Canis lupus familiaris: one gene and its partners. The protein of the gene in region 2 interacts with the protein of the main gene of each other region in a biochemical or structural test. Links are inferred from orthologs where the notes say so. Each region holds a gene or a part of one and is shown on either strand. Other genes may lie near its edges.

The links.
Region 1: the proteins of UBC (region 2) and RNF115 form a complex in vitro, tested with the Homo sapiens proteins (3 studies listed by BioGRID, with this or other methods). The link is inferred for Canis lupus familiaris from reciprocal best matches to the Homo sapiens genes UBC and RNF115.
Region 3: the proteins of UBC (region 2) and RNF216 form a complex in vitro, tested with the Homo sapiens proteins (2 studies listed by BioGRID). The link is inferred for Canis lupus familiaris from reciprocal best matches to the Homo sapiens genes UBC and RNF216.

Annotation. Positions count from the first base shown.
Region 1 is NC_049238.1:59,229,366-59,233,087, forward strand, and holds part of RNF115 (E3 ubiquitin-protein ligase RNF115), read right to left. Parts: intron 3,323-3,722; coding exon 3,229-3,322; intron 321-3,228; coding exon 205-320; intron 1-204. UniProt on the Homo sapiens protein: E3 ubiquitin-protein ligase that catalyzes the 'Lys-48'- and/or 'Lys-63'-linked polyubiquitination of various substrates and thereby plays a role in a number of signaling pathways including autophagy, innate immunity, cell proliferation and cell death.
Region 2 is NC_049247.1:5,229,343-5,232,845, reverse strand, and holds the start of UBC (polyubiquitin-C), read right to left. Parts: upstream 2,801-3,503; 5' UTR 2,642-2,800; intron 1,820-2,641; 5' UTR 1,817-1,819; coding exon 1-1,816.
Region 3 is NC_049227.1:12,342,693-12,346,514, reverse strand, and holds the start of RNF216 (E3 ubiquitin-protein ligase RNF216), read right to left. Parts: upstream 2,542-3,822; 5' UTR 2,380-2,541; intron 1-2,379.

The DNA of each region.
Region 1 (3,722 bases), on a different chromosome or scaffold from region 2:
CTGTAGGCTATGCTTTTGTAACCTCTTGTTAGAGAAGTTCCAAACATACAGTGATGATCTAAAAACTGTTAATGGTGCCAGTAGGAATTAGCCAGGAACTAAAATCTGCTCTGCTTGTCTCTATTAACCCCAAACCATCCCCACACTGCCGAAGCTGTGACTGGCAGAGATGGCCTATCACACATGACAGCTGTCTATACTCACCAGTTCTAACCATGGTACGATACAACTGCTGTGGAAGAAGTGGTTGCAGGGTAACTGCCGGACTTCCTCTTCAACTGTGTAATCTTCTTTGCACACTGGACACTCTAAACCCATATCTGTTGGAGGAGGAAATGCCTTCTAAAGTGAGTGAGCAAAAAAGGAAGAAAAAACCAGTCCAGTGTCTTTAACTTAAGTAACATGTAAAGAAAAAACAGAAAGCGCATCCTAGGTGGAAGAGGTAGAAAGCACAAATTTTATTTCAAAATGGGGGAGGAGGTGATAGCAGACAGGGACATGAATGGGCTTTAATTCATTAAGGCCTACACAGAAACTACGTAAGGCCTACTTTTCAATGTCAAGACTTGGAAAAAAAAATAAATTGGGGCTTAGATATCTATTAAGTAAAACAGGAAAAACATCTTCTCAGACATGTGATAGCCTTTTGGCAGTTTCTACATAGAGTAAATACAGGCAATCCATCCACCACAACCAAGGGACACTTCATGGCAATCTTAGCAGTTCCCAATCAGCGTCTCAAGCCACTTTTACCCTGCTATTTTCCCCATTTCACCTCCTCTTTCAGTGTGGTTATCCTAAAGCCCTCTGTACAAGTTAATTAAAAGCTGTACCAGGGGGATCCCTGGGTGGTGCAGCGGTTTAGCGCCTGCCTTTGGCCCAGGGTGCGATCCTGGAGACCTGGGATCGAATCCCACGTCGGGCTCCCGGTGCATGGAGCCTGCTTCTCCCTCTGCCTGTGTCTCTGCCCCTCTCTCTCTCTCTCTCTCTCTCTCTCTCTCTGTGACTATCATTAAAAAAAAAACAAAAAGCTGTACCAGGAGGTGGTGCTATAGAACTGCAAGCTCAAGGATAGCTTAGGCTCCAAGTCCAGAGACAAGAAACACTCTGTGAGGAAATGGCTACAAATTAAATTGGGAGTATGAGGCAGCAAAGTCTGGTTTCCCAAATCTGGCTAATACCAGCTAGTGTCTGTCTCCAGTGGCCAGGACATGCTATGTACCCACAGCAGTCAAGGACTTGGAGTAGGGCTATACTTAATAGATTTACTCCTTCCTCTCCACTTTTCCCTGACACCTTTACCTAAATTCTAGCTTTTATTTCTTATGTCTGGTCTACTGGAATAGCCTTCTAGGTAGTATTCTTGACCTTAGCCTTCAGCCCTCCAAATTTACCTAAGCTTTGAAACCAGCTAATTCTCCCTAATATTGGCTTTACAGAAATCCTCAGCTCATCTTTACTTGGATTCCCAGCTGGTACCTCAAAATCAAAAGTTCAAATTTAAAATAACACATCACTTCTGTACACAAACCAGGGCCCACTCACAATTCCCCAACCCCTGATAGATGGCAGCACAAGCGCTGTAATTCCCAACTGTGAAACCTTAGAGTCCTCTTTGACCCTTTTCCCTCCTTTATCCTATTATGCAATCAATGACAAAAGCCTTTCTTCAAAGCGACATTGAGCCTACACTTCCCTGTTAGCACTGCCACCATCACCTGCGCCCCACCTGGATACTGTAGCAGCCCCTTAAATCTCTGTTTCGGCTTTTTTTGCCTTCCAATCCATTTCAGGCACTACCTCCAAACTAATGTTCCCTAAAGACCAACTAAATTCCCTCAATCCTCCACTTGGGGAGCTATGAAACTTGCCTCCTATCTAAAATATCCAGCCCTAACTACTGTGCCAATTTCAAGGTCCACTCAGACAAGGCCCAACCCTTCCTAACCAGTCATACCTCCCACTACTCCTAAACCAGATTCTATTTCAGGGCTAATAAAGTCACTCTCCTTATACCTGATTCAGATACCATGTCCATGCTGGTATACCATGATACCAGCTCCAAAGGGTGAGCATGTCAGCTCACATTGGTTCATACTTACCCTTGAATAGAATGACCTAAGATGGCTTATCTTGTCTTTAAAATCTTCTCTAACTTAAACTGGAATTTGTGGGGGAAGAAACTCTTAGTTCAAAATAATGTTCCTTGTTATTAAATTCCTTCAATGCTTAAAAATAAGATAATATCTATATCTAAAGTACCTAACTGTATCTGACAGAGTAAATATGAGACAAATTCCCAGCCTCCTACTTTTTCTCTTTCTCTGTATCACCTGCTCAATACTTTTTTAAATACTGTTTTCTCTAATCATCTAGTTGAGTTTTGCTTCCCCTGGTAAGATCTTCAAGAAATCAAGTCTTATCTTGTACCTCTTTGTTTCCTGCATGGCACCTAGAAAAAGGACATGGTGGCTGTTGAGGAAATAACTTACTTGCTGATAAAAGAAATTCTCAGCTTTTAACATCTGCAGGCCCCTAGACCCCCAGGGAATCTATATACTTTAACATTTACCAAGATCAAAATGACCACAAAACCTCAAAGCATGAGCTCTATTTCTGCTCTGAGCATATACTGTACATCTGCTTTGTTAAAAATAATAATAATAATAATAATAATAATAACCAAAAAGGAGCATCCCAAACATAAGGATAAGGAAAAAAAATTCCCTTGTTCCCGTAAGCTTCAAGTCATATAGAGATAAAGTATGTAACTTTCTGAACTGTCCTTTGCTATATTTAAAAAACAGGGGTGTCTGGCTGGCTAAGTCAGTACAACATGCAACTCCTAATATCAGGATCATAAATTCAAGCCCTATGTTGGGCATGCAGCCTATTTTAAAACCAACAAACAAAACATATATAACCCTTCACCAAATGGTCTTTCCCTGGAGCTCTTTCTTCTTTATGAAGATTGTGCAACCTGGCAACTGTCTTAACTTAGGCTTGAATAAAACTCTCTTCCTTTCTCTTTGCAATTTAAAAAAAGGTTTATCCACTTTGCATCAACATGACTAACCCTAATGAAAAGGTAGACACCTTCCATATATGACATCTAGGTAGAATTTTAGGAGTGCTAAAGCTTCACTTGAAGATCTGCAGTATAGGAAGGTGCTGGAATTTTTGAATAGAGATCAGAAGTTAACAGAGTAAGAATAGAAATGAACTTACCAACTTGTTCCTGAGTTACTGTCACTGTTGGAAGAGATGTGATCTTTTCCTTGTCAGCTGGGGGAGGCCCTGTGTTTTCCAGTTGTCCTAAAAGCTACAAAAAAGGAAACAGAAAAAGAAGAAGTGGCAGATATCCCACTATCCCTGGGGAGGGAGCTGCTCCAGCTGAGAACAAACAATGCATATATTAGAAAATGTTAGTTGCTCTTACTTCTGCAAAGCTCTGAGAGGCTTGGGTTTCCCCTTTCCTGCTGCCACAACTCTCATAATTCCTTTACAATTTCAGAGTGACATTCGTAAAAGTCTACAGACAAACCTATCATTGCAAGGCCCACCTCCAGGCATAAAGCAACTTCAGAGGCAGCAAAAAGGTTGTGATGTCAGGAATAAAACTACAACCGAACAAAAGGTAATACTTAATTGGTCTAAAAACTTCATTCTGCTAGAAGAAAAAAAAAGGTGGAAGTATGGAAAGTAGCATAAAGTAAGCCAAG
Region 2 (3,503 bases):
TGAGGCGAAGGACCAGGTGCAGAGTGGACTCCTTCTGGATGTTGTAGTCGGACAGGGTGCGCCCATCTTCCAGCTGTTTGCCAGCAAAGATCAACCTCTGCTGGTCAGGGGGGATGCCCTCCTTGTCCTGGATCTTCGCCTTGACGTTCTCGATGGTGTCACTGGGCTCCACCTCCAGGGTGATGGTCTTACCCGTCAAGGTCTTCACGAAGATCTGCATGCCCCCCCTGAGGCGAAGGACCAGGTGCAGAGTGGACTCCTTCTGGATGTTGTAGTCGGACAGGGTGCGCCCATCTTCCAGCTGTTTGCCGGCAAAGATCAACCTCTGCTGGTCAGGGGGGATGCCCTCCTTGTCCTGGATCTTCGCCTTGACGTTCTCGATGGTGTCACTGGGCTCCACCTCCAGGGTGATGGTCTTACCCGTCAAAGTCTTCACGAAGATCTGCATGCCCCCCCTGAGGCGAAGGACCAGGTGCAGAGTGGACTCCTTCTGGATGTTGTAGTCGGACAGGGTGCGCCCATCTTCCAGCTGTTTGCCGGCAAAGATCAACCTCTGCTGGTCAGGGGGGATGCCCTCCTTGTCCTGGATCTTCGCCTTGACGTTCTCGATGGTGTCACTGGGCTCCACCTCCAGGGTGATGGTCTTACCCGTCAAGGTCTTCACGAAGATCTGCATGCCCCCCCTGAGGCGAAGGACCAGGTGCAGAGTGGACTCCTTCTGGATGTTGTAGTCGGACAGGGTGCGCCCATCTTCCAGCTGTTTGCCAGCAAAGATCAACCTCTGCTGGTCAGGGGGGATGCCCTCCTTGTCCTGGATCTTCGCCTTGACGTTCTCGATGGTGTCACTGGGCTCCACCTCCAGGGTGATGGTCTTACCCGTCAAGGTCTTCACGAAGATCTGCATGCCCCCCCTGAGGCGAAGGACCAGGTGCAGAGTGGACTCCTTCTGGATGTTGTAGTCGGACAGGGTGCGCCCATCTTCCAGCTGTTTGCCGGCAAAGATCAACCTCTGCTGGTCAGGGGGGATGCCCTCCTTGTCCTGGATCTTCGCCTTGACGTTCTCGATGGTGTCACTGGGCTCCACCTCCAGGGTGATGGTCTTACCCGTCAAAGTCTTCACGAAGATCTGCATGCCCCCCCTGAGGCGAAGGACCAGGTGCAGAGTGGACTCCTTCTGGATGTTGTAGTCGGACAGGGTGCGCCCATCTTCCAGCTGTTTGCCGGCAAAGATCAACCTCTGCTGGTCAGGGGGGATGCCCTCCTTGTCCTGGATCTTCGCCTTGACGTTCTCGATGGTGTCACTGGGCTCCACCTCCAGGGTGATGGTCTTACCCGTCAAGGTCTTCACGAAGATCTGCATGCCCCCCCTGAGGCGAAGGACCAGGTGCAGAGTGGACTCCTTCTGGATGTTGTAGTCGGACAGGGTGCGCCCATCTTCCAGCTGTTTGCCGGCAAAGATCAACCTCTGCTGGTCAGGGGGGATGCCCTCCTTGTCCTGGATCTTCGCCTTGACGTTCTCGATGGTGTCACTGGGCTCCACCTCCAGGGTGATGGTCTTACCCGTCAAGGTCTTCACGAAGATCTGCATGCCCCCCCTGAGGCGAAGGACCAGGTGCAGAGTGGACTCCTTCTGGATGTTGTAGTCGGACAGGGTGCGCCCATCTTCCAGCTGTTTGCCAGCAAAGATCAACCTCTGCTGGTCAGGGGGGATGCCCTCCTTGTCCTGGATCTTCGCCTTGACGTTCTCGATGGTGTCACTGGGCTCCACCTCCAGGGTGATGGTCTTACCCGTCAAAGTCTTCACGAAGATCTGCATTGTCTGTCACAAAAAAACCCAAAAAAACAAAAAAAACAATCCGGAGTGTAACAGACCACTCACATGTGAATAGAACGCTAACAGTTACTGGTCATTTTACACTAACCCAAGAACTAAAATAAACCTCGCCAAAAAACCTAAGGCGAAGAAACAGGACAGGTTTTGGAAACTCAAATAAGCTCCAAAACCAAGTTCCAGGCCCCAGGAGGAGAGAAAGCATGGATACCGGTCAAGTGAAGGCGCCGGCTTCCGTATCTTCCCCTCCCCCCTCAGTGATGTCTGGACCGGACAATCCGCAGGATCTCCCCTCCCCCGCCCCGCCTAACCCTTGTGCCCCGCGACTGACCCAAGCCGGCTCCACACACAGGAACACGCGGCCCCACCCCGGATTGTTAGCTGACAAAGCGATGACATCACATGACCGACGCGACGAGCGGGCCCCCTCCCCCCAAACGGGCGCAGGACTGCTCCGGCACTTCGGGCCCACTCGCCGCGACCGGACACGGAGCGTGGCGCCAGCGGGGCCGCGGAGCACACAGGGGCTTCCCGCCCCCACTCACTGCGCAGAGGGCCCCGTCAGGGCCCCACTGGCTCGGCGCGTCTCGCCCGCTCACAGCCATCCCGTCTCCCGGGCTCCTCACGGCCCCTCGCACCTCGGCTTCTCCCCGCACAGGAGCCGTAGCGGACGCCATTTTGCTGCGCCCCCCCCCCCAAGAGTAACCGCGCTCCGGCGCCGCGGGCAACTCCCCGGGCAGCCGGCTGCCCGGCCCCCCGCCCCTGCAGGGCCCCAAGACCCCCAGGCCCGCGCAGCGGCCCGCTCCTCACCAAGCGGCTGTGACAGAAGCGCACGGAGACGAACAACCGACCTCCCGGCCTCCACGGAACTGCCTGCGCCACGCCCGGCGCCTCCTTATATAACAATCGGCCGCGCCGCTCCGGCGGATCCCTGCGCAGAAACGCCGAGAAGGGACTACTTTTCACCGTCTTCCTGGCCTCCAGGGAGAAAACCACTGCCCCAGAATCTTCTAGGAGCCCCCGGAAACGTCGACCTGTCAAGGCTGGGCTGTAGGGCTGAATCTGGCGAGGAGAGGGCCGCGGTCCCGAGCGCCCGCGCGGAGGGATCAGCGCGCCCGTTGAGTGCTGCGTCCGCGGACGTGGCCGGCGCCGGATGCGAGGGGGGAGGGGGGAGGGGGCGAGCGCGGAGAACAGGGCCCGCGGGAGACGGGAAAACCCGGCGCGGAATCGCCGGGCGTCCGGGGCGAGCTGCCCCTGCCGCGGGACCCAGACACCCCTTCCCCTCGGCCGCAGCGGTCCCCGCGGCTCTCGAGACCCGCCCTGGGCGGAGAGGGGTTGGGCGTCGTGGTCCCTCGCCCCTCCGCGACCGCAGGGGTCCTCGCGCCGGGGCCTGCGGCCCGCCCATCCCCCCGCGCGGGCGCGGACAGGACGGATGACTCGACAGATCGCGGCGCGGGGCGGGAGGTGGGCCCGGGCTGGGCTGGGGCAGCGGGGGAGCAGGGGGTGCGGGACGGCCGAAGGCTAGAAGGGGGCGCAGAAACCCCGCACGCTTTGCCCGCACCTATTCGAGAGGCGTCTGGAAGTCCACCGAACTTTCTAGAATGTCCTTTGGCCTTCCTGTACCACCTACGCCGCCTTGTACTAGATACACACACGGAGGCATCTGGTGGAC
Region 3 (3,822 bases), on a different chromosome or scaffold from region 2:
TTAGAGGTGAATCCTCTGTGAATTCATGATAAGCTGCCCCTGCCACCCCAAAAGTGCCTATAGGTTCTACTCTCCCACTTATTTTCATTTGGCACTGAGGTGCTGTTTCTTTTAAATCATAAGATTTCGTCATAGAACCAAAATTTCGTGGCCTGTGAAACGCTGCCTCGTAGGACCATTGCTGACATAGCTAGCCTCACCATACACCTCTCCTCCATTCACCATTCTTTCAGGGCCTTGAACGGGCCATGCTCCTTCCTCTTACCTCTGGCTGGCTGATTATTTTTCACTGCCTCTTTCTGACCAAATTAACTCCATTCATCTTTGAGTTTCTTATCTTAAATATCACTTCCTCAAAAATACCTAACCAGGAGGATCCCTGGGTGGCTCAGCAGTTTAGCGCCTGCCTTTGGCCCAGGGCGCGATCCTGGAGTCCCAGGATCGAGTCTCGTGCGTCGGGCTCCCAGCATGGAACCTGCCTCTCTCTCTATGTCTATCATAAATAAATAAATCTTAAAAAAAAAAAAGAAAAAAAAAAAAGAAACACCTAACCATCCCCATTGTTCACTCACACAATATATCTCAATCTTTCAAAGTACTTGGCACAATAATAATCTACAAATACTTAGAAAGCTACATTAAATAGCTATCTGCTAAAACAAGTTCCAAGGATGGAGGACCCGACATCTTATTCATTCCATTAGCCGCAGGACATACTGCTTGGCACAAAGTAAATACTCCAGAAGAACTTTTCGAATAAATATCATCTACAGGGATGGCAAAGTAATTAGTAGGAGGAGCATGAGCTATGGAACCAAACTGAATTCAAGTCCCAGCTCTGTGGGAGTTTTTTGACTACTTATTTTTCAGTACCTCGTTTTCTTCCTTTTAAAATAATAACGGAACCCCCATTACTGAAGATTAGAGGAGTTATTACATTAAAAAATGCTTAGAACAATACCTAGCATAGTTACTAGCATCATGTTTGTCTTACTGACAAGAAAAGTAAAATATTGCCAGCTATGAGAATTAGTTATGAGGTCTGAAAAGACCTTAACACAGCCTAGAATATAGCAACTACTCATTAAATAGAAGCCATCAGGGTCAGCAAACTCAGGTGCTCTCATCGACCCTATTTCATAAACTTTCAGTCTTCTTGACTCAAATTTCAACTTCCTTTATTAGATTTCTCCATTCGGGCTGGAAGGCAGGTTTAAAAAAAAAAAAAAAAAAAAAAAAAAACTTGCTGCCCGCTAGCCTCTATTTAGGTTTAAGGGGGGAGATCCCAAATCTGGCTCCAGTTCTCCAGCGATTTCCTCAGTTTCACACCAGTCTGTACCCCGAGCCCCAATAAATTACCTATACAACAAATAGAACAAAGCAAGGCTGTTTCTTGGCAGTCTTTTTTCAGGCAAGCGTGCTAAAATTGAGGTCGGTCCTAAAATCTTCCCTGTCTTCTCCCAGTTCCCTGCAGGGTAAAAAAAAATCTTCTCTTTGCATTAGCAAAGTGACTTGGATGGACAAGCCATACCCGGGCACTTATCACAACGCAGGCACTGGGGGGGGGGGGGGGGGGGGGGGGGGGCGCCGGTGGGCGAGACGGGGGGGGGGGGGTCTCGCACAGGACTGAAGTGGCCCAAAGTTTTGAGACCGTCGTTCCACGCAGTCTCCAGCCACGTCCCACGCGGGAACGCCGGTCTCGTTCACTGCGCGGCGCTCCAGGCACATTTGTCGGGTTCGCCTTCCCCGCGCTGCAGAGGGTTTTGACGCACTTGCATGTCTTCACGAGGGCTGGGTGGGAGCCGCCGGCTTTCCCGACAAGACGGCGCTCCTGAACCGAGTCGGGAGGGTTGGGGACTGAGGCCCGACGCCCCTGGGCCCCGGGGGGGTGGGGGGGTGAAGGGGGACGCCGGAGTTCAGAGTCCCAGTGCATCACCGCCCGCGCGCTCCAGGCCGCGCTCGGCTCCACCGACGCCGCCTCCCGCGAGGTGCCGCCGGGAAACTCGGGTCTTTCGGCGCGTTCGCCCTCGCGCAGCAGGCCGAGGGACCGGCCCGCGAAACTTCCCGAAGTGGCGGGCGCGGGGGAGCGTCCGCCAGCCGCCGCCGCCGCCTTTGTGGCTCCCGCCTCACCGCCAGCCCCGCTGCTCGCGCCGCCCGGCCCTCGGCGGGGCCCCGCGCGGCTCCGGGCCCGCTCGCCTGCGGGAGGCCGCCGGGCCAGGCCCGCGCCCCCGACTCCGCGGCCCCGCCGCCCCTCACAGCCGAGGCCCCCGCCCCCGCCCCCGCCCCCACCCTGGGGCTTAATGGAGGCGCTGGGCTGAGACGCCACTCGCCTCACGCGGCCTGCCGAGGAGCTGGGCGCGCCCCGCGGCCGACACTTACTCGCCACTCAGCTCGCCGGCTCGCCAAGCGGGCTCGGCGGCTTCTGTCGCCACAGCTTTTAGTCACCAGAAGCGGCCGCCGACAGCTTCGTTGCCGCCGCCGCCGAGGCCGCCGCTGCACTCCTTCCGGCCCCGCCGCGACTTCACCCCGCGCCTGCGCACAGCGCCCCCTCCCGACTAATGACAGGAAGAACCATAGAGGCACGCCGGGTGCTAGGGAGGAGGGGCCTGGAGAGTAAGACCATAGAGAGGGACGTCTGGCCGCTCACCGCCCACTGAGTCTTGACTCCCCCACGAGGTGGGAGGACGAAGGAAACTGAGGGGCCCTTCCCCCAACCTCAGGAAGTGTCGCCTGTCTCCCTAGGGATGAAAAGAGTGGAGGCGGGGGAATGTGGGGTAGGGGGGAGCAGATGCCCATGGAAAGCTATTGGATATGCATTTATTTGCACCCCTTGCCTTTGGCAGGTCATTCATCCAACACCTATTTTTCAAAGAGCTTCCTGTGTGCCAGGCACTGTTGTAGGAATTGGGCATACAACGATATAGAGGGCCCCTGTTCTCCCCAAGTTAATCTTTTAGTGGATAGATATATAACAAACGCACTAAAATACTGGCTCAGGCAGGAAGGGTTGGGGGGGGAACAACACAAGAAAAATAGAGCAGAGGAAGGGGTAGAGAGTGATGGGGATGCCAATGCGGTCATGAAGTCTTCTAAAGAGGGACGTTTGAGCAGAAAACGAAATGACATAAGGAGGTCTTAATCAGAGGAATGCTAGTTAGGAAGAGATTATAGGAGTCTAAATAATACCCAATGGTGACCTTAACTAGTATGGTCAGGAAGGAGGGGGAGGGGGGAATGATCAGAGTAGGGATTTTTTTTTTTTTTCAAGTAGAACGGAGAGATTTGCAGATGGATTGGATGTGAGGTGAGAGGGAAAGGGTAACTGCAAGGTTTTTGGAACGTGCAACTGGATGAATGGGGTTTCAGTCATAAATATGGGGGGAGATTGGGAAGAACAGATTTTGGTCAGAGTAGGGAGAAGTAAATGTGTTTTGGACGTGTGAAATTGCCAACGACACCTTCAAATTAGAGACGTCAGTCAGCATTTGGATATATGAGTCTGCAGCTTCAGAAAGACAGGATCACTCAGGCTAGGGATTTAAACTAGGAATCACTGAGATAGAGATAACGTATGAAGCCATCAGACTAGCTACACTCACACCTAGGTAATGAGTGTAGATAGAGGGGAGAGGACAGCTGAGGACAGACTTCAGGGTCACTTAAACATTTGGAATCTAGAGGATGCTGCGGAGGAAAACCAGGAGAGTATGGTATCTCAGAGGCCCAAGAGACAAAGTGTTTCGACAAGAAGGCAATGATCGGTGTTGCCCAATGCTACTCAGAGACACAAGATGATGCAACTGAACCTCAGGGAAATGATAA